4 linked regions of the Arabidopsis thaliana genome follow. The protein of the gene in region 3 interacts with the protein of the main gene of each other region in a pairwise test. Each region holds a gene or a part of one and is shown on either strand. Other genes may lie near its edges. The genes, in order: AT5G47530, AT1G14990, AT2G28315 and AT1G36050.

Region 1 (4,197 bases), on a different chromosome or scaffold from region 3:
ATTAACGAGATGTAACATAATGATGATTGTCACTTGTCAGTCCAACGTGATTGTACTGAGATTATCGTCACTGTTGTGCAGCTGTTTGCAGCGAACCAAAACAAGCCTGCGGATATAGTCAACATTCTGGTGGCCAACAGAAGCAAGCTTCTGAGATTGTTGGCTGATTTGAAACCAGACAAAGGTATGAAACTAATCTTGTTAAGTGAAACGCTTGTATCCGATCCTTCTGCTCCTTAACCTTATTAAAGCATTGTTTGGTTCATTTGGTTGACAGAGGATGAGAGGTTTGAAGCAGACAAAAGTCAGGTTTTGAGAGAAATCGCAGCCCTTGAACCTCGAGATCTTGCTTGAACCAACTAATGCAATTCATCCTTCCTTCCCTTTTAAAACACTCGAAAAGACATTTTTGAAGCATCTTGTTGTTTTTTTACATTAGGTAACCAATCTTCCTCTCACTTTCTCACCACACACACACACACACACACACACACACACACACATACACATACGAGATATCTATTCGATATATGTATTCATATGTACACTACTTCACTGTCGATGAAATAAAATGGTTTGTCAAAAGCTCACATCATGAATGTTGTAAAAGAGCACAAGAGTCTTTCAACTTCAACAACTATTAAACATCAAATGTATTAACTTAATCTCGAAAACAAACAAAAATTAACAACCACAAGCCCATAATGACCAAATAAACCAGAACATTTTACTCTAATCTTTACAGAGTCTACACGTATAGAGACCGACCATCGTTGCCTACTCGTTGACTTGTTTTCGCAGATGCCTCTGCTTTCCCTCTCTTTATGACTACATACCAAGTAAACCCTTCGAGCACAACCGCGACTATACCTAGTACTACGATTATGGCGGTGTAAGCGTTTCTCCACTGCTTCTCAGGGCTCAGGATGTCTAGTCCTTTAAAAACGTTTACCACCGCAAGAATGATCACTGAATAGCCTACAGTGTGGTGATAAATGTTCCAGTAGACTCTGTACTTGTGCTCTGGTTTGGGTCTCAAAAACATTGCAAACACCTAACGTGTGAAACAAGCAACTTAGTAATTGCAACATATTCATGACAAGTGTAATACTCTCTGTACTGTTAACTAAAACCTACCTGAATTGTTGCGAGGCAGAAGAGAGCGATCCCAACAGCACGGTGAAAGGTAAACTGAATCCCGGCTGATTCGTTGCCCAGTTTGAGACCGGTCGCCCAACCGGCAACACCAATGATGTAAGCAGAAGACTGGCAGAAAACATGAAGGTAGAACCAAGCAGGATCTGCTGATTTTGAGACTTTCAAGTAGCGAGCAATGATTGCTCCTATTGGCATCATTATACCCCAGCTCACACCGTTCAATATTCCATGTATCTGCAATAATGATTAGGAGTGATAAGTTTCATAAAACCAACTAACAATGATGGGATTGATAAATCTCATTTCATATGTGAGATTCCTAAAAAACATGAAATGAAGAAATTGATAAAACCATGGACTCACGTTGCGTTTGCGTAGCTTGGAAGCTCCTCCTGCTCCGGTAGAGGTGGATCCAGATGCACCAGAGACAAGGTTAAGAGTAGAAACAGAACGAACATTGTTGCCAGAAGTTGGATGAGGCAGAGGATTGTTCCCTGACAGTGACCCATCTTGCCACACAGTGTTAATGATTCCACCATTCGCAAGTGGAAGATTCAGAATTGCGTAGATGACCATCTCGTTGTTTTGGTAAGTGGCAGACAACTGAGAGACGTTGAAACTCAGCTCAGCTTCTAGGAGACTCGTTTGGTAGCTACTGATGGGTGACGTATAAGCCCTAACGGTGCCGTCTGATTGTGGATAAGCCACAATGGCTTGAGCTCCGACCATGCCAGTAGATGTGGGATTCACGGCCCATGCCACCCATTTCCCGGGGGTGAGCTTTGTGTGGCGATACGCGATTTGGAGATTGCCTGAAGAAGAATCGTAAGTGTAGTGGAGGAAGGAATCAAGAACAGGTAGGTCGTTGCAAGACTCAAAGAGACGGTTGGTGGAGAATTTGTAGTTGGAACATTTCTGAGCCAAGGCGGATTTGGTGATGATGAAAATGAAAAGAGAGAGACAAAGGAGAAGATTTGAGGATATGGCCATGGAAACAGAATCTCGAGTAATGATTAAAAGATGGATGAATGATAAGATTTAAGTATGAAGGGGAAGAGAGGAGAATGAGATTAAGTATGAATAGAAAGTGGAACAAGTAGGGTTTGGTTTGTTAGTTAATCTGTCTTAATACAGAATCTCTAATTCTCTTCACACGTGTCCTTTTTTCATAGTTTAATCTTTCTTTTAATCCTCTGCTTTTGTTCTTGTTCATCTATCAATTGCAATGTTTTACCTAAGAGTAAAAAATAGAAACATTATAAATGAAGCGTTCATTGTTTTCCCAAAAAGGTTTGACGTGTAATGTATTTCTTCCTTAAGAGTCTTTAACCCTCTCAAGCAAAAACCAAGAAATAAAAATATGAAGGGGTCATCTTCACGTTCAAAAACCAGTTCACACCAACTTTATTACGAGAACTCATTTCTCGTGTTTATTTTTTCTTTGTTTGTCATGAAAAATCTTTTTCATTGTATATAGGTTTTGTCATGACATTGCGCGTTAAGTTAGATTATAATCTTGGTACGCTTGGGAATTGGGATGATGATAAATTATTGAGCACACTAAAATATTAGGTTTCATTGGGTTTAGTGGTTCAATTGACGAAAGTAGACTAGCGAAGGGAGTAGTGGTTTTCGCGTAATAAAGGGCAAACACGTCTATGCCTGCAACTACTAACGTTGTGCATGTATGATGTACCCTAAGTAAACATCTACCACCTTATGAGTATGGACTGGAGCGGACCAGACCAACAAACTGTTTATGAGAGATTCCAATCCAAGGGAAGTGGTTGGGTTTAGCTATTTTTAGAGTTATGTTCTTCTATATATAGGCCGCGACCAACATTTCAACGGTTAAGACCATGTACATGAGTGATATTTTTAGAATATCATCAGTGTAAAAATTATTTTTTTATTAACCAAACAATTAGAATGAGTTTGATTAGTATCATTCCAGTGATTTTCTTGATATCAGTATCATCTACGTGACATCTCCTGATTGGTAGCATTTATTAAAAGTAAGAAAAAAAATATTTATCTATTAAACAAACATTATAAATAATACTAAAATTTTTTTAATGATACTTTGAGAATATCACCTATAAGCATGCTCTAACCAGGTGGATGTATAATAATGTCCTTTCTTGGTCAACGCTCAAATTACTACCTGCCACATGTCCCCCACTAGATTCTTTGGTGTAGCTGGGCTCAGTTTGAACTAGACTCTTTTATATGGGCTTAAGTGTTAATTATCAAAAAACAACCCAAAATGAGATATTTAGATATAATATGTTTTTGATGGAAAAAAAGGAAAGATATAATATGTTTTTTTGATGAATGAAAAGTATTACAATTATTCAAAAAATCACTAGTTTCCTGAAAAACAATACAAATTGCATAGTTTCAGAAGGATAATCTGATTTGGGTAGAGTTTGTTGATGTTAGAAATATAAATATTTTCTTTTATAAATAAAATAGGATGGAAAATCCATCATATTTGAAAGTTTTGTTGTGTCTAATAAATAACAGTAGAGTGTACATAATCGGTAACTTTTTTTTCCTTAACTAAAATTTTAAGTGAAACTAAAACAAAGGTGGTAAAAAAAAGTAGAGCCTATGGTAAAATAGGGTAAGAGGGTCCATAAGGGCCCAAGATGTTTTATTTTTGCTGAGCCCATTATTACCAATCCGAACCGAAATGGAAAAACTCCGGTCTCTTTCTTTCTCTCTCTCTCTGCCAGAGTTACTGCGTGTCTTTGATTTCCCAGAAGAAGGCGTTGAATCCTTTCGTTTTCCGATTCCATTTTTGGGATCTCTTGTTTCGTTTTCTTCTCTTTGGATCCATTCCATTCCCATGTTCCCCAATTTCTTTAATCGGTGTTGCTTCCACAAGGTAATTTTGTTTTCCTCTGCACTTCCCGAGAATAAAGAGAAGGTTTTTCTCAATTTTCCCCTTATGATTATCCCTGTAAATGCGAGTTTTTTGTCCTGTTTTGTCTAATGGGTCTTCATAATTCGTGATCATCAACGTTTTCTCTGTCT
Region 2 (3,671 bases), on a different chromosome or scaffold from region 3:
TCAAATCGTGAAATCAAAGCTCTTTTACCTTGGAGGATTTCTCAGGTAGGAGAATGCCGCTTTCGGTTTTAGCGGGCTGGATGACTCTCTGCACCAAGATGCGGTTGAACGTTGGGATCAGACGCTTCATCATTTCTCAATTCTTCTTCTCTCTCAGTTGATGAATCGGAATTTTCTAGGGTTTCTGAGTTTTTAATTTGGGGCAGAGACACATAAGACGGAAGGTTCTAGATCGTAGGGTTTAGCGCGACAGAAAAAGGCCAAGGGTTTTGGGATTGTTTGGGCCTATAATATCATACTATTTCTTTAATGGGCCTCACTCATTAAAAAAAACCAGTCGCATTTGTGTTTGTCTAAATAAATTCTTGGAAGTGTTGTATGACCTTGCAGCTCAAATGGTTAGTTCCTTCCATGATTCTCTTTGCCAAGTTTTTCAAACTCCATGTACAATCCCATTTCATATACCACATCCAGAATGAGATGTTTATTTTCGGCAGATTTTTCGTGGAATGAAATCTTGACCTTTCTTTTATCAAACGTCTCTGCTGATGATGGAAAGCTTCTTGCTCTGTCAGTTTTCCCCATTTCTTTCAAGGTGGTAACCAAAGTTTTTCCCCGGATTGTTGCTTTGCTATGCTATATGTTTATTACATTGTGCCTCTGCGGGAATTACATGCTCTTAATTTTCAGAGTACAAATCTGAATAATCCATGTAAGCCAATGGTACGGTTCCGGACTTATACAAACACCATACAAATGTTCCAAGATACCAGGATTCGAATTTGCTATAACAAGATTAGGCACAAAGCTGAAACAAAGAGAGCTGGCGCCACTAGCCACTTCCATCGAGTTGGCCTTGAGATAGAAGGTGAGCCATGTATTGCTGCATTCACAATAAAATGAGCTCAATTCTTGGTTCTAACCCCACATGATTCGACAAACATTTCTATCAATGGCACCACAAAGTCAGTACCATCAAGATTCTAGACTTATGGAAACTGACCTTTACAACACTAAAATATCCGCACCACAGAGATTATCATAAAGAGATTGAAGAAACTTACGGAGTGGTAAACGTATGGAGATTTTCCCTGGCGATCAAAATGCTTAGCCATTATGCAGAATTCAACAGGACCCCAATCTTCAGATTCATAGCAATTCCCAAGCGCCGCTTTGTACAGCTTTACTCCAATAAACCCCAATCATCAGTTCCACACAGAACTAATCAACTATATAAACTGTAAACGACAACTCAAAATTGTCATCAAGGACAAACCTTAGCTGTGTCGGTCAAAAGTTCGGTGCCAGCAGGGTAAGATGCATAAAACTGATCTCCCCTGGAATATCCTGCTCTTGTTCTACACAACATTCGAATCAGTAACATTAAATCAAATTAAACCTGAAGCAGAAACCAAGAGAAGAACCCAGAAATTGAAATCATCTGCGAATTCCGATATTGAAAAGAAAGAACAACCAAAAGAAGCAAACTGAGATCGGACGAAAGACATTACGTGTTGTTTGTATAGAAGAATGTGAGGGCAGCAGTGAAGCAGTAGAATCCGGCGTAAGAGACAGCCCGTCGTAGCTTCTGGATCTTTATAACCTCTGAGCAAACATCCAAGATCATCATCTTCACACCTTCGGAAACTCTTTCAGGTATTATATCGAACACCTTGTGATCACTTTACCAAACAGAGATGACGAGTAGAAGAAGCATCTCACGAAATTTGCAATTGACAAATTGTAAACGCTTTGTATTGTCCAACTTTTTATGGGCCTATCTGACCTTTTTCTCTTTTCGGCCCAATAAAACTTTTAGATTTTATTTCTTTTGGCAACAATAAATTTAAAATAATATACATTATGGAAAATCATCTACAAACAAAAACCTTTAAATTAAAAAACTCACATGTTAATGCAATTAGGTTAGTAAGCAAGCACGTCTTGACAAAAATGTTATTGTTACACATTTAAAAATTCACATGTTATACAAGACAAAACATAAACGTAATGTTTTGCAGTCAAATAATGAAATAAATGAAATAATACAAAGGGATCTTTATGTAAAGGCGTCACCAATTAGTGGAAATAATGGAGCAAGCCACTACACTCTTCATATTGCTTTCCACTCTCCTCCTCGCCGTCTCCGTTGAGTCTCCTCAGCCACCGCTATTTCCCGATGAAGCTCTCCCCACTAAATCTGGCTACCTCCCGGTTAAACCCGCACCCGGCTCGTCCATGTTCTATGCCTTCTACGAAGCCCAAGAGCCAACCACACCTCTTCCTGACACTCCGCTCCTCGTTTGGCTCCAAGGTGGGCCAGGCTGCTCTTCAATGATTGGCAACTTTTACGAGCTCGGTCCCTGGCGTGTAGTTTCACGCGCCACAGACCTCGAGCGCAACCCCGGCGCATGGAACCGTCTATTCGGACTACTTTTTGTGGATAACCCAATAGGAGTCGGATTCAGCATCGCAGCCTCACAACAAGACATACCCACAAATCAGAGACAGGTCGCTGAGCATCTTTACGCCGCTCTCGTGGAGTTCCTTGAACAAAACCCAAGCTTCGAAAACCGACCGGTTTACTTCACTGGAGAGAGCTACGCCGGGAAGTACGTTCCAGCCATTGGATACTATATCCTTAAAGAGAAACCCAATGGGAAAGTGAATCTAAAGGGGCTAGCCATTGGAAACGGGCTGACCGACCCGGTGACCCAGGTTCAAACCCATGCGGTCAACGTCTACTACTCGGGTCTGGTCAACGCAAAACAGAGAGTTGAACTGCAAAAAGCGCAGGAGATATCTGTAGCTCTCGTGAAGTCCCAGAAATGGCGTGAAGCAGCAGACGCGAGGACCGAACTGTTGACGCTACTAAGTAACATGACAGGACTCGCGACGCTCTACAACACGGCACGGGCGATTCCATACAGAACAGACCTCGTGGTGGACCTCTTGAACCAGAGAGAAGCAAAACGTGTTTTGGGAGTGAGTGAAACGGTTCGTTTTGAGGAATGTAGTGATGAAGTAGAAGATGTGTTGCGGGCAGACGTGATGAAGAGCGTAAAGTTCATGGTGGAGTACGCATTGGAGAGGACTCAAGTCTTGCTGTATCAAGGTATGCTTGATCTAAGAGACGGCGTCGTTTCGACGGAGGAGTGGATGAAGACTATGAACTGGTCAGGATTGGGAATGTTCTCGACGGCGGAGAGGCGTGTGTGGAAGGATGAAGACGGTGTGGTCGCTGGTTATGTTCAGAGATGGGGGAATTTGTGCCACGTGGCGGTTACAGGAGCTGGTCATTTTGTTCCGACAGATAAAGCTGTGAATTCAAGGGATATGATTGAAGGTTGGGTTTTGGGGAAAGGATTGTTCGGTGGTAAAGATGTGAAGCAGACAACTTCGTCGAGCTTATACCATTCAATCTAAATATTGTGTACTTGTACTTAGTTCTGTAAGATTCAATTCAGATTCTAATTGTACTCTGGATTTAGATTTGTTACGTCATGTTCACAAGTTCATTTTAGTACGAATTGGTAACTTTTGCTACTTAGTTTATCATTTGCCTGTTCCTGAAGTCTTAAACTTTCTCAAAAAAGTTAGCATACAGTATACACTTAAGGATTGATTCAGATAAACTGTTTTGGTAAGAATAAGGAGATTTGAAGCATAAA
Region 3 (4,586 bases):
GCCAATTCTCTTTGTAGGTCCATAAGACCATAACATAAAAATGTTATACATATACTATTCATGGAAAGATAAAACAACAACGACAACGTAGCATGTGAACAGAGGATGAATTCTCGTAAACGTTAGACGTAACGCACATGTAATATTTAACAATATACATATCTATATGTATATATGTTATAAATTGCATTTAAATTTTTTATATGGAAAGGAAAAATAAGAGCATAAAGCATTTCAATTATTAGAAATTTCTGGTTCCTGTTATCCTAAAAACCGATAATAATTATATGCATATGTCAAATCGCCCATCATTTTTCTTCCATAAACTCAAAAACTTCATAATTTATCACATTTTAATCACCGAAAAGTCCAAAACCGTTTTGAAACTAATTGTATTTTAAACACTATTTAGTACTATACTATTTTATTTTATCTTCTTAATAGAAAACAATCATTTGATCATTTGAAGAACACTAACATAAACCAAAGAACACGTACGAGAGAAAATAATTTTATAATCCTTGTAAGATCCAAAAAGGAGGAAATGAAATAGGAAATGTAAATATAAAAAAGAAGAGAAAATGCCCATTGGCTATTTCAATTTTTTCTCAATTACAAAAACATTATCAATGAATGAACAAAAAAAAGGGACACAATTATAGAGTCGAAACATAAAGAAAGAGTTATTGTACTATTTCATACTGGAGAATGCTTGTCTAATTTCTTGGCTTCATGATGGTTCTCATTTTCTTGTCCCAAAAGCGGCGTCGTATCTCTATCTTTCCCCTGTCAAAAAAGGAATAAAACCAAAGTACTTAGAAACTTTCAACACTCATTATTTCTATCTTTTCTTTTTGTGTGGTTAACGTACAAGAAAAGTGGAATCGGAGGAGGCTTGTTTGGATTTAGAAGCAACTGAGCAGAAGTAGGAGTAGAGAAGCATCCCGAGGACAGCGATGAGTATTCCTGCGATATTACGAGGAGTGAAGGGATCGTGAAGGAGAGTGTAACCAAATGCGAGCACCAAACACGTTTTGAGATGTCCCAAGACTTGGTATGTCACCGGAGATGTCTTTCCAATCACTAAAAACGTACTGAAGTTAACCGAAACCGCTATCAAACACGACAACGTTATGAACCCCTGCATGATTCATCATTGTCAAATTTCACAAAATTTTAGTATCTATCTAGGGACGTTATGATACAATCATGGCTCAACATGGGCACGGCTCTAAGGGGCCATGCGAAAATGGGCTGGACCGATCCAGGACAATGATTCTAATTCTATTTTAACACCAATTGGGAATAAATGGAATTAACGATGTAAAAAATTACCACGACGATGGGAGAGTAATGGAAGGAGAAAACATTGAGGCTAGTGAGGTATTTGTCGACAAAAGGACCCGAGACGAAGAGTATAGCAGCTTGGAACGGGGCTGATTGGTATAGGAGTTGTGTTGATGTCACGTTCAGTCTCTTCTGGATAGTGTTTGTTAGCTTCACCACAACATTTTCATAGTCATATTAATTATACTATGTATTAGTTATTAAACATTAGTTTAATGAAACTTAAAGCATACAATTTGGCCGACGCAAGTTGTGGCAATGGCAAGGAGAGATAGAACAGAGCCAACAAAATTGAGCTGAAGATCTGTGATTGATGCTATACCAACCCCAACTAGCAGCAAAAACAATGAGAATTTTATCTTCTGGCTGCAAAACCAAAATATGTCATTCAAAAAAAAGTTATTTATGTAAACAATAAAAATTAAAATAATCTTATGTATCAAGTTTGGTTCACCTGAACTTCTTGTTGAGGAAGAGGGTTTCTAAAAGAACAGTGAATGGTATGATAGCAAGTTTGGTCATCTGCCATTAGTTATGGACAAACATCAAATTGGTGAATCATATAATTGTTACATGATCAAAAGTATGTCGAAGATATATACTTGATAGAAGCCGATGGAATTAAAGCCGAGGCTGAGATTGAGGAGACCAATGGAAATGCCATTGAGGAGGCCAAAGAGAACAACAGTTCTCATGTCTATTGGTTTATTCTCAAAGAAGTTTAGTTTATATGCCACATGAAGTGTGCAATATGTTACCATCAAATGCCAACTAGTAAGTGTTGTTGCTGTAACAAAACCATAGCAAAAAAGCGATCAATCCTAAGACGAATAATCGGGTTTTTGATAAAGATCTTACAAAATATATTCTCACAAAGCAAAAAAAAAAAGTACTAGTAATTACCAAAAGGGAAACCAAGATTGGTCATCAAAGCTTTGTTGCAAATGACAATGGAGACAGAAGATGCAACTGATAGAAACAATGCTCCAATCACACCCATTTGCATACTCTTCATCTCTCCCATTTTTTCTTCCTCTCTCTCCTCTCAAATCTTCAAATCTATCAAATGAAGAGAGAGAAAGAGAGATATATATTGATGTGAGAAAAAGAGAAGGATTGTGAATGTGATGAGTGATGAAATGCAAAGGTGATATAATGAGATTTTTATTATTTGTTTGTATAAAAATGGTTGGTGTCTAACACCAAACTTCTGTTCTTCCTAATTTCATGTTTTAATAATTATGACATTTACATAATTACGCACAAGATACATGAGAAAAACTATAATGATGTTGCTTAATATTTGTTTTTCCTCATAAGAGACTTCTACTAATGATATGATAGCAAATTCTTAACCATAAAAAAGACTCTGAAATGAAACAGCCAATGGAGGGAGACATTGTATGGTTTTCTATGGACAAACAATTGACTTGAACTAAAAGCAAAAAGGAAGGTGAAACTGAATTTCTCATACTTTTTCTATTGGGCAAAATATTGTAAAATAGAAACTAAAATGAAAATTGAAATTATTTGGATTTGGTGTAAAGCTTCACACTCACTCCAAAGTCCATACCAATACCCTTCTCTTCTCCTTAATTTCTCTACCATTTACGTTACCTATTGAGAGCAAATATAAAATAGCCAATTTATGAAATTGGGTGAAATAGATAAATCATGAAACTGGTTATAAGTCTTGTTTTCTTATTGTCTTTTCAGAAGTCAAAAAGATTATGTAATAACAACCACTTCTATTACACCTTTGTTTTCTAAAGTTTTTTTTTTTTACATGTTTCACTTCTCTCTTGTTTAGTGAAAGCAATTTCTTTTTAAAAACATCTAAGAATTTGAAATGGAGAAAGTAACAAACAACATAATAAAGCTCAATCAAAATGTATAAATCTTACACAATATCAATAAAAAGGGCTTCACACATGTCCTATGAAAACCTAATTTAGTGTAAAATATTTGATATACAAAAGTAAAAGTTTTTTTAATATATTAATTATATAGAAAGAAAAAAGAAAAACAAATCTAATCTTTCACCATCTTCCCAAGATACTCTTTATCAGCATCAGCCAATCGGTTCTGAAACATTGTCCATTCCATTTTGCATCTATCTCTCACTCCTTGCCATGGAGCTTTCCCATTCTCTGACTTTCCTTGACTTCCAAGTGAAGGTATCACTTTATGTATTATCCATTGCGAATCCACAACACCAATCTTCTCATGAGCAGGCTGCAAAAGCAAAACACACAAATTTTCATCATCAGTCAAGAGAATATTGTGTTATTAAGGTAAGCAAGGGGGGGGCAAAAACAACTTACTTCAACGCATCTTCTAAGCGCAAAGTCGAGACCCCATCCATGAACCAGATCATTCTGCATCAGAAACATAAACAAACTGATCAAAACAACAAGCATTATTTTGATGGACTAAGACTAGGACTATGTATCTACAGATCGACGAACCTGAATCATATGCCACACACATCGCCATGCTTCTCGAGAAAATACAGGCGCCATTATTTCAACAAACCTGTGAGAGGGAATTTTTTTCAGAAAACTCAGTACTGACAATGACTAAACACTCTTGAGTTGCTCTAAAGAGAACGTTTCAAAGAGAGACTTACGCGGCACATGGAGGTAAATGTGGGTCTTTACACCATCCTGGTTTCTCTTTTGTATCTCTGTTCAACAGTAAGTAACAACACATTTCTTAATTCAGAACCAAATTTGAAAGAAAGGCAAAGAAGAATGGTTAGAGAAGGAGATCTTACTTATGGACTTCCCGGTCACCTCTCCTCTTTGTCATTTCCCATGTGAGTCCATTGTTAGGCTCTAAGCCTGGTTGAGAAATCTCTAAACCATGCTTCTTAACTAACTCAATGTACCTGAAGTTTTAATAGAATTCCATCACAAAATGTAAAATATAAGATTGTTCTGCTACTTCAGACAAGTAATAACTTACTTATCCGCATTGAAATGCTCCACTCCAAGATCTTCATCCCATATAAATATGTACTCATAAGCTGACACAACATCAGGATGCAAAAACCTCTTCGCGTACCACCTGCCAAAACCAGTAGAGAATTTCGATAAAAACATACTCGACAAACATACTTAATAACCGGTAAATGACCAGATGACTAACCATTTTGTTTGCTTTCTTGTACTAATATGAATCGCGCTCTTCGACCACTCAAATTGGTCCCATTCAGTTGTCCGGCCATCATAATGGAA
Region 4 (5,625 bases), on a different chromosome or scaffold from region 3:
AGACCGAGTGATAGATAATAAGTAAAAAAAAAAGTAAAACAATTATCAAGTCTTTAAGTTAACACAAAAGATTAGATTTCTTTTTTTGTGTTTAACAATGGTAACCAAAGTGAGTTTTTTTTACGAGCAAACGTTGTCAAATGAGAAAGGAAGACTTGGATGATAAAAGTGTCCATGCAAATATAGAAACCAATTGCCAAGCCAAAGGAATGAGAGAATGCACATATATTAGGCTTGCACATTCGGGTACCGGTTTGGGTTCGACTCGAGTATTTGGATTTTGGTTTCGTACTAGGAATCGAGGTACTATTTGGGTATTTTAAAATTTTGTTCGGGATTGGTTTGGTAACCTTCGGGTTCATATCAGTTCGGATAGTTGATATGGGTGAATTGAAAATTATCGGATACAGTTCAAGTTGGTTACTTTATACTCAAATTTATCCAAACTACTCGAAAAGAAAAACCCGATGTTCCCAATCAAACCAGGCAATATAGGTTAAAGGAGATCATGAGTTTAGTTAGGCTTCAAATATATTCGAGTTCCCGTTAATTTATCAGGTATTATCCTTTTTGAACCAATACCGAAAATATATGAAGACAAGACCCAATCAAATGTTCTAGAGGATCCAAAACAGACCCAAACCGATATTTCGGATAGGTTCTGGTTCAGTTCTTCGAATCCGAGTATTAACCGAGACCTAACATATATTGCAATCGGAATTAATATATTCACTAATAACAACTTTCTCGTCAATACTAATAATGATTCTCTGTACTCTAAGCGTTTATTATGGAGACTGTTTTGCTTCTTTTTCTTCCATTCATTGAATCCATACACTACAATCAAAGATAGACTCAAGACTTAACTTCAGATTCAAAACCCATAATATCTTCAAAAGACAAAAAGTCAAAAGACGATAATTGTAACGCACGCATGAGGCTGTCAACAGCTGGATTGACACAACCCAAGACTTATCCTTCAATTTGCATTAAAAGAGTGTAACGTATCAATATGTATATTTTATATAGTCAGCTTAACAAAAAGAATTAAATAAATGACACCATATTACATTTGGAGCATGAATCGTATTATCCGCAAAACAAAAAGAGAGAGACGAAAACCCCAAAAAGGCTTAAAGGATTTAGCTAAATTTACCAATTTCCATCTTCTTCTTGATAGCTTTTTGACCATGGTATATAAACGCGTCTATTATCCCGGACACTGTGAAGACACCTGCGCATTTTTACATGTTTCATTTCGGATTTTAATGTGCGTTAACCAACAAGTGTTGTTATGGTATATAGAGATTAGAGAGATACCTCCAACTATGGCGCAAACATTCGTCAAGAAGTGCAAGAATGATATGTGTTCCTCCGTAAATGTTACCTACGGAAACGACACATTTTAGTTAGGATTATGACTATAAATACGCTCTAAAACTGCAGTTAAAACACACAAATACACTCACCTTGATTGGAGAGAGATCATAGAAGAAGAAAACTCCAGGTAAAGATTGCAGTTGACCTGCTTCTGAGCTCTTTACATGTTCGGTCACTGAGAACTGCCAATTTTACATTTAAGTTAAGATAGTACGCGGAAGAGAATGAATAGATAATGAGGTCGAACAGTTAAAAGCCTTGGTTCACCTGATTCGATTGAATTGTGTGTCCTCTGATATCTGTGTATACTGTTGGTACAACCTATTGAAAGCAGACAAAGCAGAATAGAGTCATCGCGGGTATTTTATAGACGAATTTGAAGTATATGATACAGTGTTTGTCTTGGAACAAACCTTGATAAAGTATTGGTACATAGCATTAGGTGTGTCTTGACTCCACTCGACTCTGCAATTTCAAGTACGTTAGAGAGTATGAAAAAATAAATAGTGTGTGAATGGAATAGACCAGAATGGTTATTTACTTGTCAAGAGGGTTAACGACGCCAGGAAAGTAGTCTCCATAAGTAAGTCTATTGATCTTGTGACTTATCTGCAGGGAGACGCAACATATTGAATTGATATAAGATTAGAAGCATAACGAATGAGTTGCAGTCAATAGGACAAGTCATTTCTTACGTTAAAACTGTCTTTCTGAAAAGCAAGAAGATCGTGAACATGCACGCCCGACTGATGAAAGCTTTTCCCAGGAGCAAAGTGGAAGTTCCCAGCCACCTTATTGACCTCCAAGAACCCATATATATTACACCCTTCACCTTCTTCATCCTTTACTCTTTGTAGAAAACCTTCTCGTTTACACTGAATCACAAACAGATAAGTGAAAAGTATTTCAGCTCGCAGTTGGAAGATGGAAACTCTTTGAAGCATAGTTCAGTTAAGAGCCTCCCAAGTGCATACTAACTAAACAAAACGCACACAAGCCTTGGAGACTCTAACAAAGAATAAGAAAAAGAAACAAGAAGAAAGAAATGAAACAAAACTTGCTACTATCGCATTGAAACAGTGATGCCAGGAATTTAAAAGGCGAAGAACCTTTTCTTAGCAATTTACCTGGTCAATCAAATCTGGATTAGTAACCCCCCAACCTTTCTTTCTATATGCTTCACGAACATCCTCACACGAATTGCAGCAGTCATGCTCTTCCTGCACGGGGAAAAAACATACTTCAGATGAAAGCTTATAAATAAATGAAAGCCAGATTGAAAAAGCACTATCAACTATCCTGAAAATGATAACTATATATAGTACAGAAACAATCCACTATGACATCTGTTTTTGTTTATTCCATTATGACCTCTTGACTAGCACTAAACAATCAAGAGTAATCTGAATATGAACTTGAGAAACCATGCTCCACAAAGTCAAATAGAGAGATAACACAATTACCGCTTCAGCCCCATAGCAAGAACCACAGTAAGTCTCATTATGTCCCAGCCTGCCACCATGTTTCTGCAGTGGGTTTTCAATCTACACAAGCACAAAAAAAAAAGTATAAGACTTTAAAGACCCCAAAAACAAACGACTTTTAATTCTTGACACTACTATTCCATTTGCCATTTGCCATTTGCCTGCAGTTTAATCCTAGCCTAATGACTACAAAACCCCAAAGAATAGAATGGCAGAGAGCAAACCTTAGTAGCGCCTATTCCGTCCTGTCTTGCCTCTATAGTGTTGCCATTAGAATCTAATCTTCTCTTTATGATATCATGTTTCTGTAACTCACACATTTAACAAACTTAATCAACGTCTCAAACACAAAAACTAAGATTCACTAAGCTATAACAGTAACCAATTTTACAAACATACCACGTCAAGATGAAGCTCTCCACTAATATCCATAGCATCAACACTAAGAATCGAACATGCTAGAGCAGGAAACGTAATATCAAACTGCATCATCAATGAAACTTATCAGACATCTCTAATCAAATATAAGCACAAACCAAGTCAAAATCACTATTAAGTAACATTACGTTGATGCGTAACGTCTCTCCCCTTGAAGTATCTACTATAAGCTTCGTCTCGGTGACTGTATGAAGATAAAGACCTAAACAACAGAATCAAAGAATTTCAAAATTACGAAACTGGATATGGAGATTCACAAAATTGGAAGCGAAGTTGTTAATACGTACGGAGCTCGGAGAAGAAGAGAAGGAACATAACAACGGAGGAGAGGAGAGTGATAACTCCGCCGGATAATGTACGGCTGTAAAAATCTTCATTGATCTTAGGATATGCATCTAGATTCCGCAATTTATTCAAGATCCCGGCCATTTTTAAACACCTCCGGGAACGAAATTGTCAGATTCAGTTCACCGGATTCAAATCCAGCACCGAATACGATTAGGTAGGATGTTCGGAGACAAAATCAGACGAGAGAAACGTCGTCGGAAGCGAAAATTCTTCCGACGATGCGTGAATAGATCTTGGAGAGAGTGATCGATGAGATCTTTGAGTCGTTCTTCTTCTTCTTCTTCTTCTTCTTCTTCACCGTCTCGTTTTTTCTCCGTCGGACGGAGGAGCGTTTGACGGTCTACGTAAACCCGTTCGTGTTTGCCGTCTTTCGCTTCATGAGTAAACGACGTCGTTACTATTTCATGTGTCTTAAGAGGCTTTTCAATTGTTAGCTTGTAGCAAACTAGGCCCAAATTTGGTCGATGAGCAAAAGTAAAAATGGATAAAAATATTGTTTTCTATTTTGGTTTTTGTCTAGGACTAGTGATGTTAATTTGGGTATGCAAATCCTATTTAATTAATGGTTATGAGTAAGAGTTTTTGACCCATTTAAATTAATTTAGGAAAAACAAGTTAAATGAGATTAAATGGATTAAGCCAACTAAACTCATTTATTAAATAAGGTTTCACATAAATAAATTGGTATCCAATTAAGTCTATTTATTTTTCTTTTTCTATTAGTCATCCTTAGTAAAACTAAATTATTCTATTTAACTTCAGTTTTTGGTTTAAATATTAAAATTACGTTTTTCCGCCACAACCGTAAACCAACATTTTCTCGACAAAACCGTAAAACCACGTTTTCCCGCTAAAATCACAAAAAGTGTTTTCTTGCCAAAATCACACAAAAAGTATTTTCCGCCAAAATTAAAAATCACGTTTTCCCGCAACAACTGTAAGCCAACGTTTTCCCACCAAAACCGTAAAATAATATTTTGTACACATAAATTAAATGACTTTAAAAAAATTAATACATGCTAATTTTTTCTTCAAATAAATATAAATACATCCTAATTTATTTGACCAATAACACATATAAAAACAAATTTGTTAATTTTTCTTTTAGTTCAGAAAAAAAAGTTAAAAACATTTGAGATATAGACATATAAATTTGTTTTTTTGTTAGTTTTATTTTATTTCTTTAAGATTTATATAATAAGATTTACAATCCTTAAACATTCATAACTCATGGATGCCTAATACCGGGACTATTTCCTGGATTAGTAGGCGCAAAATCATTTGTAAATTTGTTGTTTACAACTCTTAGATGCCCAATACCAGGACTATGTCCTGGATTAGTAGGCGCAAAATCTTTTGTAAATTTGTTGTTTATAACTTTTGGATGCCCAATACCAGAATTATGTCCTGGATTAGTAGGCGCAAAATCATTTATACATCTATTATTTAGATTATTTTTATTGTCAATTTTCTTTAACATTTTTGCTTCCACGAAATCTTCATTAGCATTGAAATGCTCATGACGGTCCATCTTCCTCAAATTTCTTGCTTCAATGGTGACAAGTGTTTTGTCAAATACCTTTGAGATGGTTAAACTGGTCACCACAATGATAATAAATAGCTTCATGTTTCTTTTCTCTAAATTAGATAAAACAATTATGTTTTGGTATATGATTAGTATTGAATGTTGAGTAAGGTTTGTCCGACTAAAACTATATTTACAGTGTCTATTCAAATTATTAAAATTATAATTATTAAAGTTTTAAATTCAATATATATATCGTATAACTGTTGTATCATATCTTTCAATTTTCCAGAATCCTCAAAAAGTAAATAAATATATATATGTATAACACCTAAAAATATGGGCTTAGATATATAAACATGTGAACAGTTAAGGTAATTGAGAAGAAGTTGGTTACGTGAAGATATGGTTGGATAAAACGTATGCATCATATAATGATCTTATAGCTTA

What was found.
Region 1: the proteins of AT2G28315 (region 3) and AT5G47530 interact in a protein complementation assay, tested with the Arabidopsis thaliana proteins (one large-scale study listed by BioGRID).
Region 2: the proteins of AT2G28315 (region 3) and AT1G14990 interact in a protein complementation assay, tested with the Arabidopsis thaliana proteins (one large-scale study listed by BioGRID).
Region 4: the proteins of AT2G28315 (region 3) and AT1G36050 interact in a protein complementation assay, tested with the Arabidopsis thaliana proteins (one large-scale study listed by BioGRID).

What each region holds. Positions count from the first base shown.
Region 1 is NC_003076.8:19,279,422-19,283,618, reverse strand, and holds AT5G47530 (Auxin-responsive family protein), read right to left. Parts: upstream 2,246-4,197; 5' UTR 2,149-2,245; coding exon 1,522-2,148; intron 1,393-1,521; coding exon 1,138-1,392; intron 1,055-1,137; coding exon 749-1,054; 3' UTR 558-748; downstream 1-557. Other genes in the region: AT5G47540 (Mo25 family protein), read left to right, coding at 82-184, 278-354. UniProt on the Arabidopsis thaliana protein: May act as a catecholamine-responsive trans-membrane electron transporter.
Region 2 is NC_003070.9:5,166,522-5,170,192, forward strand, and holds AT1G14990 (uncharacterized protein), read right to left. Parts: upstream 1,744-3,671; 5' UTR 1,631-1,743; coding exon 1,512-1,630; intron 1,359-1,511; coding exon 1,277-1,358; intron 1,182-1,276; coding exon 1,065-1,181; intron 1,004-1,064; coding exon 974-1,003; intron 884-973; coding exon 833-883; 3' UTR 510-832; downstream 1-509. Other genes in the region: CPN10 (chaperonin 10), read right to left, coding at 29-133; scpl50 (serine carboxypeptidase-like 50), read left to right, coding at 2,092-3,426.
Region 3 is NC_003071.7:12,086,681-12,091,266, reverse strand, and holds AT2G28315 (Nucleotide/sugar transporter family protein), read right to left. Parts: upstream 2,601-4,586; 5' UTR 2,372-2,600; coding exon 2,251-2,371; intron 2,135-2,250; coding exon 1,950-2,134; intron 1,870-1,949; coding exon 1,802-1,869; intron 1,714-1,801; coding exon 1,581-1,713; intron 1,498-1,580; coding exon 1,336-1,497; intron 1,142-1,335; coding exon 872-1,141; coding exon of another isoform or gene 863-871; exon of another isoform or gene 787-862; coding exon 697-786; 3' UTR 502-696; downstream 1-501. Other genes in the region: AT2G28310 (trimethylguanosine synthase (DUF707)), read right to left, coding at 3,379-3,582, 3,672-3,725, 3,816-3,882, 3,977-4,033, 4,124-4,237, 4,315-4,416, 4,498-4,586. UniProt on the Arabidopsis thaliana protein: Nucleotide-sugar transporter that transports UDP-xylose and UMP in a strict counter-exchange mode.
Region 4 is NC_003070.9:13,448,573-13,454,197, reverse strand, and holds AT1G36050 (Endoplasmic reticulum vesicle transporter protein), read right to left. Parts: upstream 3,995-5,625; 5' UTR 3,732-3,994; coding exon 3,590-3,731; intron 3,505-3,589; coding exon 3,431-3,504; intron 3,348-3,430; coding exon 3,264-3,347; intron 3,170-3,263; coding exon 3,089-3,169; intron 2,925-3,088; coding exon 2,844-2,924; intron 2,601-2,843; coding exon 2,508-2,600; intron 2,256-2,507; coding exon 2,076-2,255; intron 1,990-2,075; coding exon 1,922-1,989; intron 1,846-1,921; coding exon 1,794-1,845; intron 1,702-1,793; coding exon 1,648-1,701; intron 1,563-1,647; coding exon 1,470-1,562; intron 1,388-1,469; coding exon 1,321-1,387; intron 1,235-1,320; coding exon 1,157-1,234; coding exon of another isoform or gene 1,143-1,156; exon of another isoform or gene 838-1,142; coding exon 515-837; downstream 1-514.